Linked DNA regions of Oreochromis niloticus. The protein of the gene in region 2 purifies or fractionates together with the protein of the main gene of each other region. This does not show direct contact. Links are inferred from orthologs where the notes say so. Each region holds a gene or a part of one and is shown on either strand. Other genes may lie near its edges.

What was found.
Region 1: the proteins of cep43 (region 2) and cep350 purify together in Homo sapiens (affinity purification with mass spectrometry; 6 studies listed by BioGRID and IntAct, counting the BioPlex papers as one, with this or other methods). This does not show direct contact. The link is inferred for Oreochromis niloticus from reciprocal best matches to the Homo sapiens genes CEP43 and CEP350.
Region 3: the proteins of cep43 (region 2) and cep78 purify together in Homo sapiens (affinity purification with mass spectrometry; 3 studies listed by BioGRID and IntAct, with this or other methods). This does not show direct contact. The link is inferred for Oreochromis niloticus from reciprocal best matches to the Homo sapiens genes CEP43 and CEP78.

Annotation. Positions count from the first base shown.
Region 1 is NC_031986.2:44,022,926-44,026,678, reverse strand, and holds the start of cep350 (centrosome-associated protein 350), read right to left. Parts: upstream 2,477-3,753; 5' UTR 2,121-2,476; intron 508-2,120; 5' UTR 433-507; intron 1-432. UniProt on the Homo sapiens protein: Plays an essential role in centriole growth by stabilizing a procentriolar seed composed of at least, SASS6 and CPAP. Required for anchoring microtubules to the centrosomes and for the integrity of the microtubule network.
Region 2 is NC_031980.2:25,521,484-25,525,236, reverse strand, and holds the start of cep43 (centrosomal protein 43), read right to left. Parts: upstream 2,474-3,753; 5' UTR 2,425-2,473; coding exon 2,341-2,424; intron 1,464-2,340; coding exon 1,410-1,463; intron 892-1,409; coding exon 837-891; intron 1-836. Other genes in the region: mboat2b (lysophospholipid acyltransferase 2b), read left to right, coding at 3,648-3,753. UniProt on the Homo sapiens protein: Required for anchoring microtubules to the centrosomes. Required for ciliation.
Region 3 is NC_031977.2:24,825,465-24,829,217, forward strand, and holds the start of cep78 (centrosomal protein of 78 kDa), read right to left. Parts: upstream 2,851-3,753; 5' UTR 2,698-2,850; exon of another isoform or gene 2,681-2,697; intron 389-2,680; 5' UTR 382-388; coding exon 120-381; intron 23-119; coding exon 1-22. UniProt on the Homo sapiens protein: Centriole wall protein that localizes to mature centrioles and regulates centriole and cilia biogenesis. Involved in centrosome duplication: required for efficient PLK4 centrosomal localization and PLK4-induced overduplication of centrioles.

The DNA.
Region 1 (3,753 bases), on a different chromosome or scaffold from region 2:
AACACAACACTGAAACAAGTCAGTGACAAACAAATAATAATTTAAAAACACGAGGCACTACAGTTCATACCCAACATATTAACAAGTTTAAATGCAAAGTAGTCATGGCTTGGCAAAGGTATGCAATTTGTCACACAGCAACAGCATAACACTGCTACCCTGCCATTTAAAACGGGTTCTACAGCCTCACATTCCTAAAAGGTAAGCACAACTCAAAAATGTGATGTTTACTCAAAACACCTGTAATGCTAGTCACATGTCTGCTTTAATGGTAGGCACTGCATATATCAAGTCTGTTAGCTGTTTTGTCCTGAGTAGGAAAAAGTCTTCCACTACAGCATTAACGATTGCCAATGTATTCAGATAATTACAGCACAGATCTGCGAGAGTCAAGTCTAGTCAGTGAGACACTTAAGGGTGTTTTGTACTAACATTTAACACTTGTTGAGTCATGAGGAATTCTTGAGAAGTCATGCCTTTGCCTCATAACAATCACGTGACACAGCCCTGGGGGCGAGATTGGAAAAAAGAAGGAGAAGAAGAAGAAGAAGAAAACTAAATCCACTCTTTTTCAGTGGCCCTCCCTGTTCTGTTTTCTGAGCCATAAACAAATTACTGATAGTATACACTCGACTCTATAAAGTTATTAAAAGACTGCTTTCTACCACAGACCGCTGTATTTGCTGTTGTGCGAATCCAAAACGCCACACAAAGAGCAGCTAAACTCTGAAACATTAAACTTTTTGTAAAGTTAGCAAATTCACAAGGAAATGTCGTTTTGCTGGGCTGTCACATTCACTACGGAAATATGCTGACGTTGGCTAAGTTTAGAAAAACTGCACACCCCAGCATTTTTGAAACACACTCTTTTTCTTTCACAAGTTTATTTAACCCAAAGAACAGGGGGATTTCAACCAAAGTGAACTTATTCTGCCGATTAAATGTAAATGTAAAACCCAGACAGTCTACAGAGGGCAGGTTTAAAATACTACTGTATAACGGAATGATCCTGTATTCCTGTATAAGTGAACACACTGCTTTTAGACATTTGGGCCTTCTAAAGTTTGAAAACGAAAATATATTGAGACCCCAAACTTCCAACAGAGAAATCAAACTCTTTGGCAACATATCAACGGAGTAAAGGAGGATACTCTGTGAGAATTTAATGACAAAAACACTTTCACCGATAGAGTGGAGGTGTTTTCACCACTAATGCCGTGTAAAATCCAAGATGGCGCATAACTTCTTCTCGTTAACCGATTGACGCAGCTTTCAGCAGCAGCGGCTCGGTGCTGCCGCACACGGGAAGAACCTATATTACAAAAACACTGACACAGGGACATTGACTGCTGCAATGCAGCTTCACGCCACATGTGTCACTAGTGTACAAAAGGTTACTTAACAGCACCTCAGTCGTTCAGCAAGGAGGAAATAATTGGCCATCTTCAACTTTACATGAGCTGTATTGACTTACGCGTAAATCATCAGGACTCGATCTTAGTTGTGTTTATAGTCGCTTTAGAGCCACCTGGAGTTGCATTTATGCCGCCGAATACGGCGCCAATAAGTTTACCTTACCTTCAAATAAAAATATCATCTTGTTGTAAAATGCCGAGTGCCCGAAATACACGAATTCAGACTGAGCGCATCAGGAGATATCCAAACGCTATCTGTAGTCAGTATTAACAGCAGCCCTGTTATTATCGATTCTGTTAAACAATAACTATGCGAAACAGGAAGTAATAGTAAACTCAAAAGCCTTTAAACTCAAAGAATATAGCTAACAGTATCCAGGAATTATTCACTCGAGCAACGGGACAACAAAACTAATCTTATATCTCGTATTGGGTGTTAACTTAGAACCAGGGTATTACGGATTTTTCATAATTATTGTTTTTCACAATAACTAAGTTAAGTCGTCCAATATACTCTGCGTGCGCTCAAAAATCATGTTTGTAACTCATTATACCGTCTGACTTAAAGATGAGGTACCGCGTAATGTCTTCGGTCCAGTGAATAGTCGGAGCCGCCAACTCGAAAGAGTGAATAATAACGCTAGCTGAATAGAAAATCATGAATGTACTTGGCTATTCCAGTTTTAGGAGAGTAATAATATGTACCTTCAGTGAAACGATCCGGTGCGTCTAGATGTCCGCATTTATGTCGATATCCTCATGATAAGAAAATCCAAAGTTCTCCGGGCGACTTCTTCAGTTTCGTTCAGCTGTATGTTTGCTAACGTTAGCATCAGCTAACGATGTGGAAAACCAGTGTCAGTTAGCAGTTTTGCCAACTAATCCAGCAACTTTTTTCTACATTCACCCATCGCCTCAGAGTTAGTCCAGAGAACAACGTCTCCCGTGTTTCGCTGTGAGATTCCTTCAAAGAAATGTCGCCACCCGCCTCCGAGGTCGCCTTTCCCGGGTTACTATGATGATGTTTCTCAACAGTGAAACTGGAGTATCCAGGACGTGTAGGTAACCGAGACACCGAAATCTCGCGAGAATTCAAACACGAGAAACACCGGTAAAAGCCCACCTCCGCTCCCATGGCAGCAGTAATAATTTTAATTATATAAATAATGATTAGAAACATACCTGATATACTTGAAGTATCTGAAACTTAATTTATTGAACCAGTTTGATTATATTAAATCATAAAGTCTAAAAAGCAGCAGTACAAAAAACCCAGAATATTTCACAGAATAACGAACAAAAACTGAAATCTGAAATGCATTTTCTAAAAGTGCTTTAAAAAATGAAATAAAAACATATCTGAGAATTGAAGGGCTTTAAAACCAGAAAAGACTTCTGAACTCAAGTTATTTTTGCCTATGTGGAGCTGGACGACATTGCGTCAAGAAAAGTTCAATGAACTTCACCAACATATAAAAGAAAAGATTTTTTTTTTTTAATTTGTTCCAGAATTATGTGATCAAAATGGACAGCTGGAGAGAATGGAGACAGACTGTGGGAGGCAGATGAAGCAAAATGTGTTTATATAGATCAGACAGATTGCGCACACAATAAAAGGGCCAGCGACTGTTTCAGGTAGCTACACAGATCTACATGAAGTTTTCAAAGGTGTACCCAAAATGGCAAGATGTGTACCTAATAATTTAATCAGAGTGAAAGCATGCTGGCAACACATTTCGAGGGTATATGTGTGTATTTTTCTTTATTTCCTGCTTTTAATATGTACATTACATCAACACGCCAAATAAAGTTTTTATTTATTTTGATTAAATTTAAACTAGCTATTTGTTGAAACGCAGTAAAATATTGTGTGCATTACTGTAGCAGAATGGGCAGAAATCTCTTCAGTGAAGTTGGGTTAACCACTTTTTACTCATTGCCAGACAAAATAAGAGAAAAAGTCTTTGAAAGTCTTTTTAATTTACATCGGATTACACCCTGCCAAACTAACCTCAAGCAACCAGTTTTACTGTGTTGATTCGCCTGTTTGCACAAGTGTGACAATAGATGTATTGAAAAGACCAGGTACTCCCTGAGGCTTCAATCTTGGCATATAGGCTACACCCATGAATATTTCAAAGCTTCCTGAACAGCTAGTCAAGCCACACAGCACGGCAAGAAGAATAACGCTCAACATATGTGCGATTACTGCCCCCTTGCGGCTCGATTGTGTATTGCACACAGACATAAACTGCTCCTTGCATGGCGTCACCCTGAATGCTCCACTCATTCAAGAAGTTACCTCAGCCCACTTATCTTACGTTCAGCTCATTTAATT
Region 2 (3,753 bases):
GTTCGATCCCAGTGGTTTAAACGAGTGTGTGTGCGTGCATGTGTGTGGCGTCCTGCTGCTGTGTGTTTGTGAAGTTTGTGTGACACCCTCGAGGGCCAAAGAGATCAACGCTCTGATCTTCATCATCATCGTTGTCATCACTGCTGAATAGAGGACAGAAAATCACATACCAACAGGAAGTCACATAATGTACCCAGAGTCTCAGCGTGTGAGTCGGAGTGAGCTCTGATTAGTGGATTCCTGCTGATGGAGCACAGCTTATAAAAATACCGACACCATGTAAACGTCACAATGAACACCTGAAATCCAGGTGAACTCCTGCTCGTCAACTCTGCTCCCTGCAGTGGTCTGAGAGGAGACGAGCTGACAGCTGAAGCCACAGCGCCCCCCTGTGGGGCACACAGGAGCTGCAACGCCTGCTGACCGAGGTTACTGCAGGCTTAACCCTTGCTGTCACAGCTCCTACTCATTGCCATGGTAACACATACTGCAGGCTGGCCTGCTTCAGAACAGGTTATGTTTGTAATCGCACACCAGCTGACCAATCAGATGTCTGGAAGCTGATCGATGACATCAGGATAAGAAGGAAACGTATCGTGAACCTGCGGATGCTGCGCCGCGGTGCTTGCGGGTGCTCCCATCAGTGAGGGATTCTTTAGAGCATGTTTGAAATTATTTAAACCTTTCTGAACTCTCTCACTGATGAGTCTTTCTGTTGGACTGAATTTAGTAAAACTGTAAACTAACAGCCACGAAGCAAGCATGAAGCAGTATGACCTTCATCGCTGTTAACCTGCTCACAGCTGCAGGCAGGAAGAGGAAGTTGAGGAACTCACCGTCTTTGGTGTTGAGACATTTCGTCAGGTTCTCGTTGACCAGCGGACTTTTATTCTGAGGAGAAACATCAGCAAGAGCTCAGATCAGGTCAAAGCGGTCAGTCACACCATCATTGACTCCTCCCAGCTTCCTGACTCCTCCCACCACAATTGTTCACTTTTCCAGAGTGAACGATTGATTTTAATCTACACACACCATGAACCTGCTGTCACACGTGTTCCTGAATTTGAATACTTTATTAATGATGTGGTCACAGTCGATCCGAGACACTAAAAACAGGAACTGATTAAACTAAAGTTAAAATATAGCAAAATAGCTCTTATTATAAATAATTCAGTATGCTACACAAATTAAATAGATATGGTTAACACTGCCCTTTTTATGTGCAGATATTTCAGTGTGTGCTGTGCATTAGATGGAGGGGTTGTTCAGTGCTGCATTACGTGTAATCTCATGCTCTTGTTGTGACTGGCCACCATTCACAGAGTGAGTGGGAGGTATTGTCCAGCATTGTCCTTATCTTGGACAATGACGGACAGCACTGACTGATCAACACTGTGTGAATCACTCACCTCCAGTTTGTCCTGCTCCTCCATTGCCAGGAACACCGCCGCTCTCATCTCCGCCTGCAGGAACATGTCATCGATACAGGCAGTTATTGAAACCAATCAGTAAATACATACATGTCATTCATGACAGACATTTCAAACTAAAAGAGTTTCCTAAATATTATTTCATTTCCATCCATCAGTTTTCTTCCACTCATTCTATTCAGGGTCGTGGGGGATGGAGCCTCTCCCCGAGGCGGGACACACCTGGACGGGTCACCAGCGTGTCGCAGGACTAACAGCGTTTCATTCATTTGCTGTATTTCACATTATTTTTATACGAGCACTCGGCCCGAATCTTCCTTGCTCCTGGATCAGATTTTAGGCTAACAGGTCCCACCTGTGCTGAAGTTAGCACGCACGAAACTAGACCTCCACCATCCACACAGCGCTTAGTTTAGATATAAGTCACAAACTGATCAGATATAAATCAGAGTGGTTTCAGGTTTGGAGGCGAGTCTTTCTCAGCTCCATTCACCTGACGCTGTCGAGTCACATGACAAAAACAGGGAGTGAAAGGAAATAAAAAAGGAAAACCATTTTTATTTGTTCTGTGAGGTTTCTTCTTCTTGGCTGTGAGCTTTGAGGTTCTACTCTGAGCCGCAGTTACACGCTATTAGTAATAAAATGTCTCCTCTACTCTCGCGGATGTTTAAACTGTACTTCCATTTTCGAAAGGTCAGATCCTGCTTCATCGACACCAGCAGCAACAGAGCTCACACAGCTGCTGAGCCTCTACACTCAATAAGAACTTCATCTCTCCTCTCAGGTTAAATAAAATAAACCTAAAACAGTCTCTGAGTAGCCGGTTAGTAGCCGTTAGCTGCCTGTTAGCTGCGGGTAGCTGTAGCCTATCCCGCCGTCAGGGCGCCTCACGTTAAACGTGACCTTTCACCTTCAGCTTGTTCAGAGCTCCGCTGTTCTCAAGGTTCTGGATCAGCAGGTCCCGCAGCTCCGTGTCGTCCTCGGCTGCTGACATGTTTCTGTCTGAATCTAAAGATGCTAATGTAGCTAACCGCTGCTGCCAGGACAACACACCAAAACAATCTGACGCAACTTCCGCCCTTTCTTCTTCTGTTGCTCTTTAGCCGATCTGAATGCCATCTGCTGGCTTGCAGGCTGAGTTGGAGCTGGATAATTTACCTGTTTAACAAACTGCGTTAACGCCTTAGTTTACTTCACGGTCCGTGAGATGGATTCAGAGTCACGTTTTTCATTTTATTTCCACTTTTATTTTATTTTATTTTTACATTTGAGCGTTTGTGTGATTTCTAACTTTCTGAGCTAGTTTGTGACCTTGTATTTATTGTATCTCCAGACCGAGTCTGTCTTCACATCAGATCCATAACTGTGCAGTCGTTCCACCTCTGCTACAAAAAGCTTCACAGGGGCCGAAAAATAAAATAGAAGACTCATAACATCCCCAGTGAGTAAAAATACTGCACTGTACTGCACGGAATACTGCATACAAAAATGTTACCAGAGATTACCAAAATGCCTGTGGCCATCTCCCTGTACAACTCGTCCATCTAATACACACTAAACACTACAATAGTTACATCCTTTTTGCACACACTCTTTCTTACTCTGTAATGTTTCTGTCAATTTCTTGATATTTATTTATAATCACATCTGTCAACCCTGAATATTTATTATTTGTATATATTGTATATATTGGGCTATTCTTCATATCTTAACATATTGTATTGATAAATGGTCTAGTTTGTTTTTGTCAATGCTACTGTACTGGCGCAACTTGTGGGACAATTAAAGGATTATTCTATAACTGTAACCCACATAATTTCCCTAGGGATTAATAAAGTATTCTGATTCTGATAAAATCAGGAATGGCTGTCACATACAGTAAAACACCGTCAGTGCCTCAGTTTTGAGTGCGACCGACAGACTTAAAAAAATGAATTAATTTATTAGTTAATGATTTAGTGTTTTGTCAGTTTTGTCCTTCCATACTCACACGATGAAACAAAGACTTTGCCTTCAGATGAGGTGAGCTGTTTGTGTGTGTGTTCTTCAGCCAGATGCCAAAAGATGTTTCTGAGACTGAGCTGAAGAGAAAGCAGGAGGAGGAGGAGGCAGACGGAGGGGAAGAGGAGGAGGAGCAGGAAGCAGAGAAGCACGCGCAGACGCACGGGCACGGACCGCCGGTGGATCACGGAGCATCCGCCGTCTCTGCGCAGCTGCATGTATCAGAAGCAGCACGGCCGGCCTAACATCGGAGCTATGGCCGACGACGGAGCTCCATCCACGGCCTGCACAGGCTCCAGCCTTCTGCAGCCGCTCAGTGAGC
Region 3 (3,753 bases), on a different chromosome or scaffold from region 2:
CTAGACTTAAGATATCTTCTATCTGAAACCAATGGTGACATTGTTTTAAGTAAAATCTGAAAATCAACAAGTTTCTAACACAGACAATTAAGATTGTATTAACTGTTTCAATAACTTACCTGCCTCTCCAGAAGCCAAACTAGCTTGGTGTGTGCTACTTATTGCTATGTGGTGCAGGTGTTTGTTAATGGATATAGAGCTGAGAACGGGTGGCCAGTCTGTTAGCTTCAGCTTGTCTCCATTAAAGTCCAGCATCCCTTTGTTGAGGTTCATTTTAACTGCAGGAAGGGGGACAGATTCCTGCCTGGCACAGGCAAACTCATAGTAAGCCATAAAGTCCTGAGCACCCTGCCGCCGAATCTGAGCGCTGTCCTGGACCATCTTTGATCTAGGAATAAAAATATTCAAAATAAGACAAAGAGAACTATGTAAATGGGTAGGAATACTTCAAGATCACAGTAATGAAAAACAGCACACATCACTGCAACTTTACTTTTACACCATATCGTATTTTTCATACGATTGCTTCAATTTAAGTAGAAAATTCTCCTATTTCTGTGTATATGATTACATCTTTGTCTTTTTCCTTAAGCTGGTCCTTTCAAGGGTCAACACAGAGGATCATGTGCGTCCATCTCACCCCATCTCTAGCATCCTGTTCTGTCACACCAACCCTCTGCGTGTCCCACTTTACTACACCAAGAACCTCCTCTGAAGTCTTCCTGTTTCCCTCCTGCCTGGCAGCTTCATATTCAACATCTTTTGTCCAATATTGTCCAAACCACTCTTTAATTTCACCTCCAAACCACTTAACCTGAGCCGTCTTTCTGATATACTTTTCTAATCTTGTCTATCCTGCCCACTCCCAATGAAAAGTTAACATCTTCACCTCTGCTACTTCGAGATCGCCCTCGTCTTCTCCAAACCAAGCATCATTGTAGGTTCACTACCACCTTAGAAACCTTTGCTTTCACTGCTGTTATCCTTCTGTCACAAATCAACACCTGACACTCGTCTCCAACCACTCCACCCTACCTGCACTCGCTTCTTCACCTCTCTCGTGCGCTGTCCTTTGCTCTCGATTGTTGACTGCAGGTATTTAAATATATATACTGTATATAATTAGACATCTGCTGAAAAAGTTCTAATTCTTAAACATTATGTATCACTTGTAAACTGGTACATAAATTATTGTTTTGTTATTAATTATTTGAAAGTTTGAGGATTAATACATCATAACAATGATCCACAGAATATGCAACATTCTTGTCTAAAAGACTCCTCTGGTGTTCAAAACAACTTATATTTAAGATATCTTTTATTTTTATTATTATTAATCTCTGCCTCCCTTCTACAGTGCGTCTTCTGTCCCATCTTCCTCCCATCACCCCCTAGCAGTCGTGGCAATTACTGCCCCTAACTGAGCTTAGTTATATTGCAGGTCTCTGCCTATTAAATGGGACTTTTTTTCTTCCCAAAGTCACCAAGTGCTTGTTCAAAGGGTTTTTTTGATTACTTCAATTTTCTTTATATTATTGCACATCTCTACCTTACAATATAAAGCACCTTAAGGTGACTGTTGCTGTGATTTGTTGCTATAAAAATGACACTAAATTAAAATTGAACTGAATTAATTTACCAAACTTGTTCAACTTTATTTATTAACGTATTGCTATATCATAACATTTACAGACACAGCAATAAGTATATGGGGTGGCCATATGCGAGCCACTGAAAATATTGAGGTGGCACACCAAAAACAGAATTTACAGTTTTATTATGCTCTAGGTTACTTGAAAATATGTCAAAAAAGAGAGAAAGGAAAGAATTATATTCCTACTTAATTTCCTGCTATTAAAGTTTATATCACTGAAAATAGGGTAAATATGAAAACCAAATAAGATTTTGAAATCTATATTAATCACTTTTAGCTGATCAACTGATCGATTAATTGAGTGGAAGTCCCACGATGGCTTTACTGATTCTCAGCAGAGCTGACTAGAAGCAGCTTAAGATTCACTCTCCCAGACTGGAGTTAACTTTAACAGCAAACTTGTTCACGGAATACAAATAAATATTAGATCATCTAAGAGTGTGATCCGTTTCCTGTTTCTATGTTGGCCCTGAGATGCACAGTGATCTGTCCAAGGACTGGCACCAGCTTTTCTGCAACCTTATTACATTATTCCCAACATAGGACAGTCTTTCCAGGGGGAGCACTGGGAGTGCCAGCAAATTTTGGGGGGTAGCCAGTGCCCCCTCTGGGCCCGCAGCAAAAATAAGCTATCAAGCTATTTCGATAGCTTTGTTAGAAACTGATGGCCAGTTGTCACTATTAAGCCAAGCCATAACCAGCCCTTCTTCTGAAGATCATACACAGACCACAAGTTTTTCGTTAACATTTCAACGTTAACCTTACAACAAAGCTAATTGTTGACTTTCACTGATTTTGAATCTTCACCAATTATCTATGCACAGTGTAACCGCTTTCTCTCATTAAATGCAGGGCGCTAAGGTTAAATCAGTGGCGTTAGCTCAGCTCAGCTCCTAGCAACCAAAGACCGTCTATGCTAGCAGTGAATGTCAGCATCAGGGTCTAGAGCTGCTGTTTTTAATTGTGCCTTCATGCATTACACGACTGGATTTAATCAAAATAAAACAATATAATGTACTTTCATACCCAACTAAAGACTATACCGTCGCGGGACTGATGTATGACTCTTCCTCGACGCTGCTTGACAACTTCAGCGGTCTGTTATTGTTGACAACATAAACGACCGCTCAAAAGTGGCGCTGTAGTGCCAGCAAACCCACGCCCACTTCTTCCTCACTGTGCCATTTGCAGCTCTAGCCAGAGATCTCCTGCCATCTATCAAAGAGGAGCGGTAAAACATACCACAGGGAGTCGCAACCAATGACTGTATAGTCATAATCTATTTAGAGAAGTTTGAGTGCATAATAAACTATCCAGTTATAAAACAGATGACGAACCTCTTGAGACGTCTCAAGAAGACTATGATACTTCAACATGTCATTACAAAGAAATCAAAGAAGTTAATCTGCATTCCCCACTGGGCCTAAATTTTAGGAAATAAATGTGTACAATAACCGTTTTGGCTAAGCAAAATTGTGCAAAAATGGATTTGGAGTTAAATGCATTAATAAAGATATCCCTATTCTGGTAAATCAACTACTCCTAGTTGAATGAATGTGGTGTAAAAAGTTTCTTTAATTCTAAGGGGCTGATGCATGGTGCCATTTATAGTTAAACTGTGGATGCTCCCATTCTTAAATCCTATAGTGATTTTTCTACTTAAAGGAGCACACAGCAACTCTCCATATCTTGTTTGGGCGGAACAGCCACAACCTTCGATCACGTCATTCTAAGAAGTGAATTCAGTGAAACAGTCGTCTATGTAATCATTTCCTTTTTGGTCATTTTGTTGACTGCTTTAGCACTACCTTTACGAGATTTTGAAGCATTTTGAAAGATTTCAAGATTTTGAAAGTTGTCCAGGATGAGACAACGAACTTTCTTTCTTGGGGCCATCAATCAGGCGGCGCGTCTCACGTGTAAGAAAGCATTGTCTTTTGTTTGGCAGACTGCAGAGAAAGGCTGCATTGAGCAGTTGTGTTTGTTGAATGTAAGATAAACAGATTTGTGAAATATTTTCATATCTAATCTTGATTAATGGGTGGCATGGCAGAGTTTCTTTACTCAGGAGGATTTGTGAAGTAGCTGGTCTGTTGGTG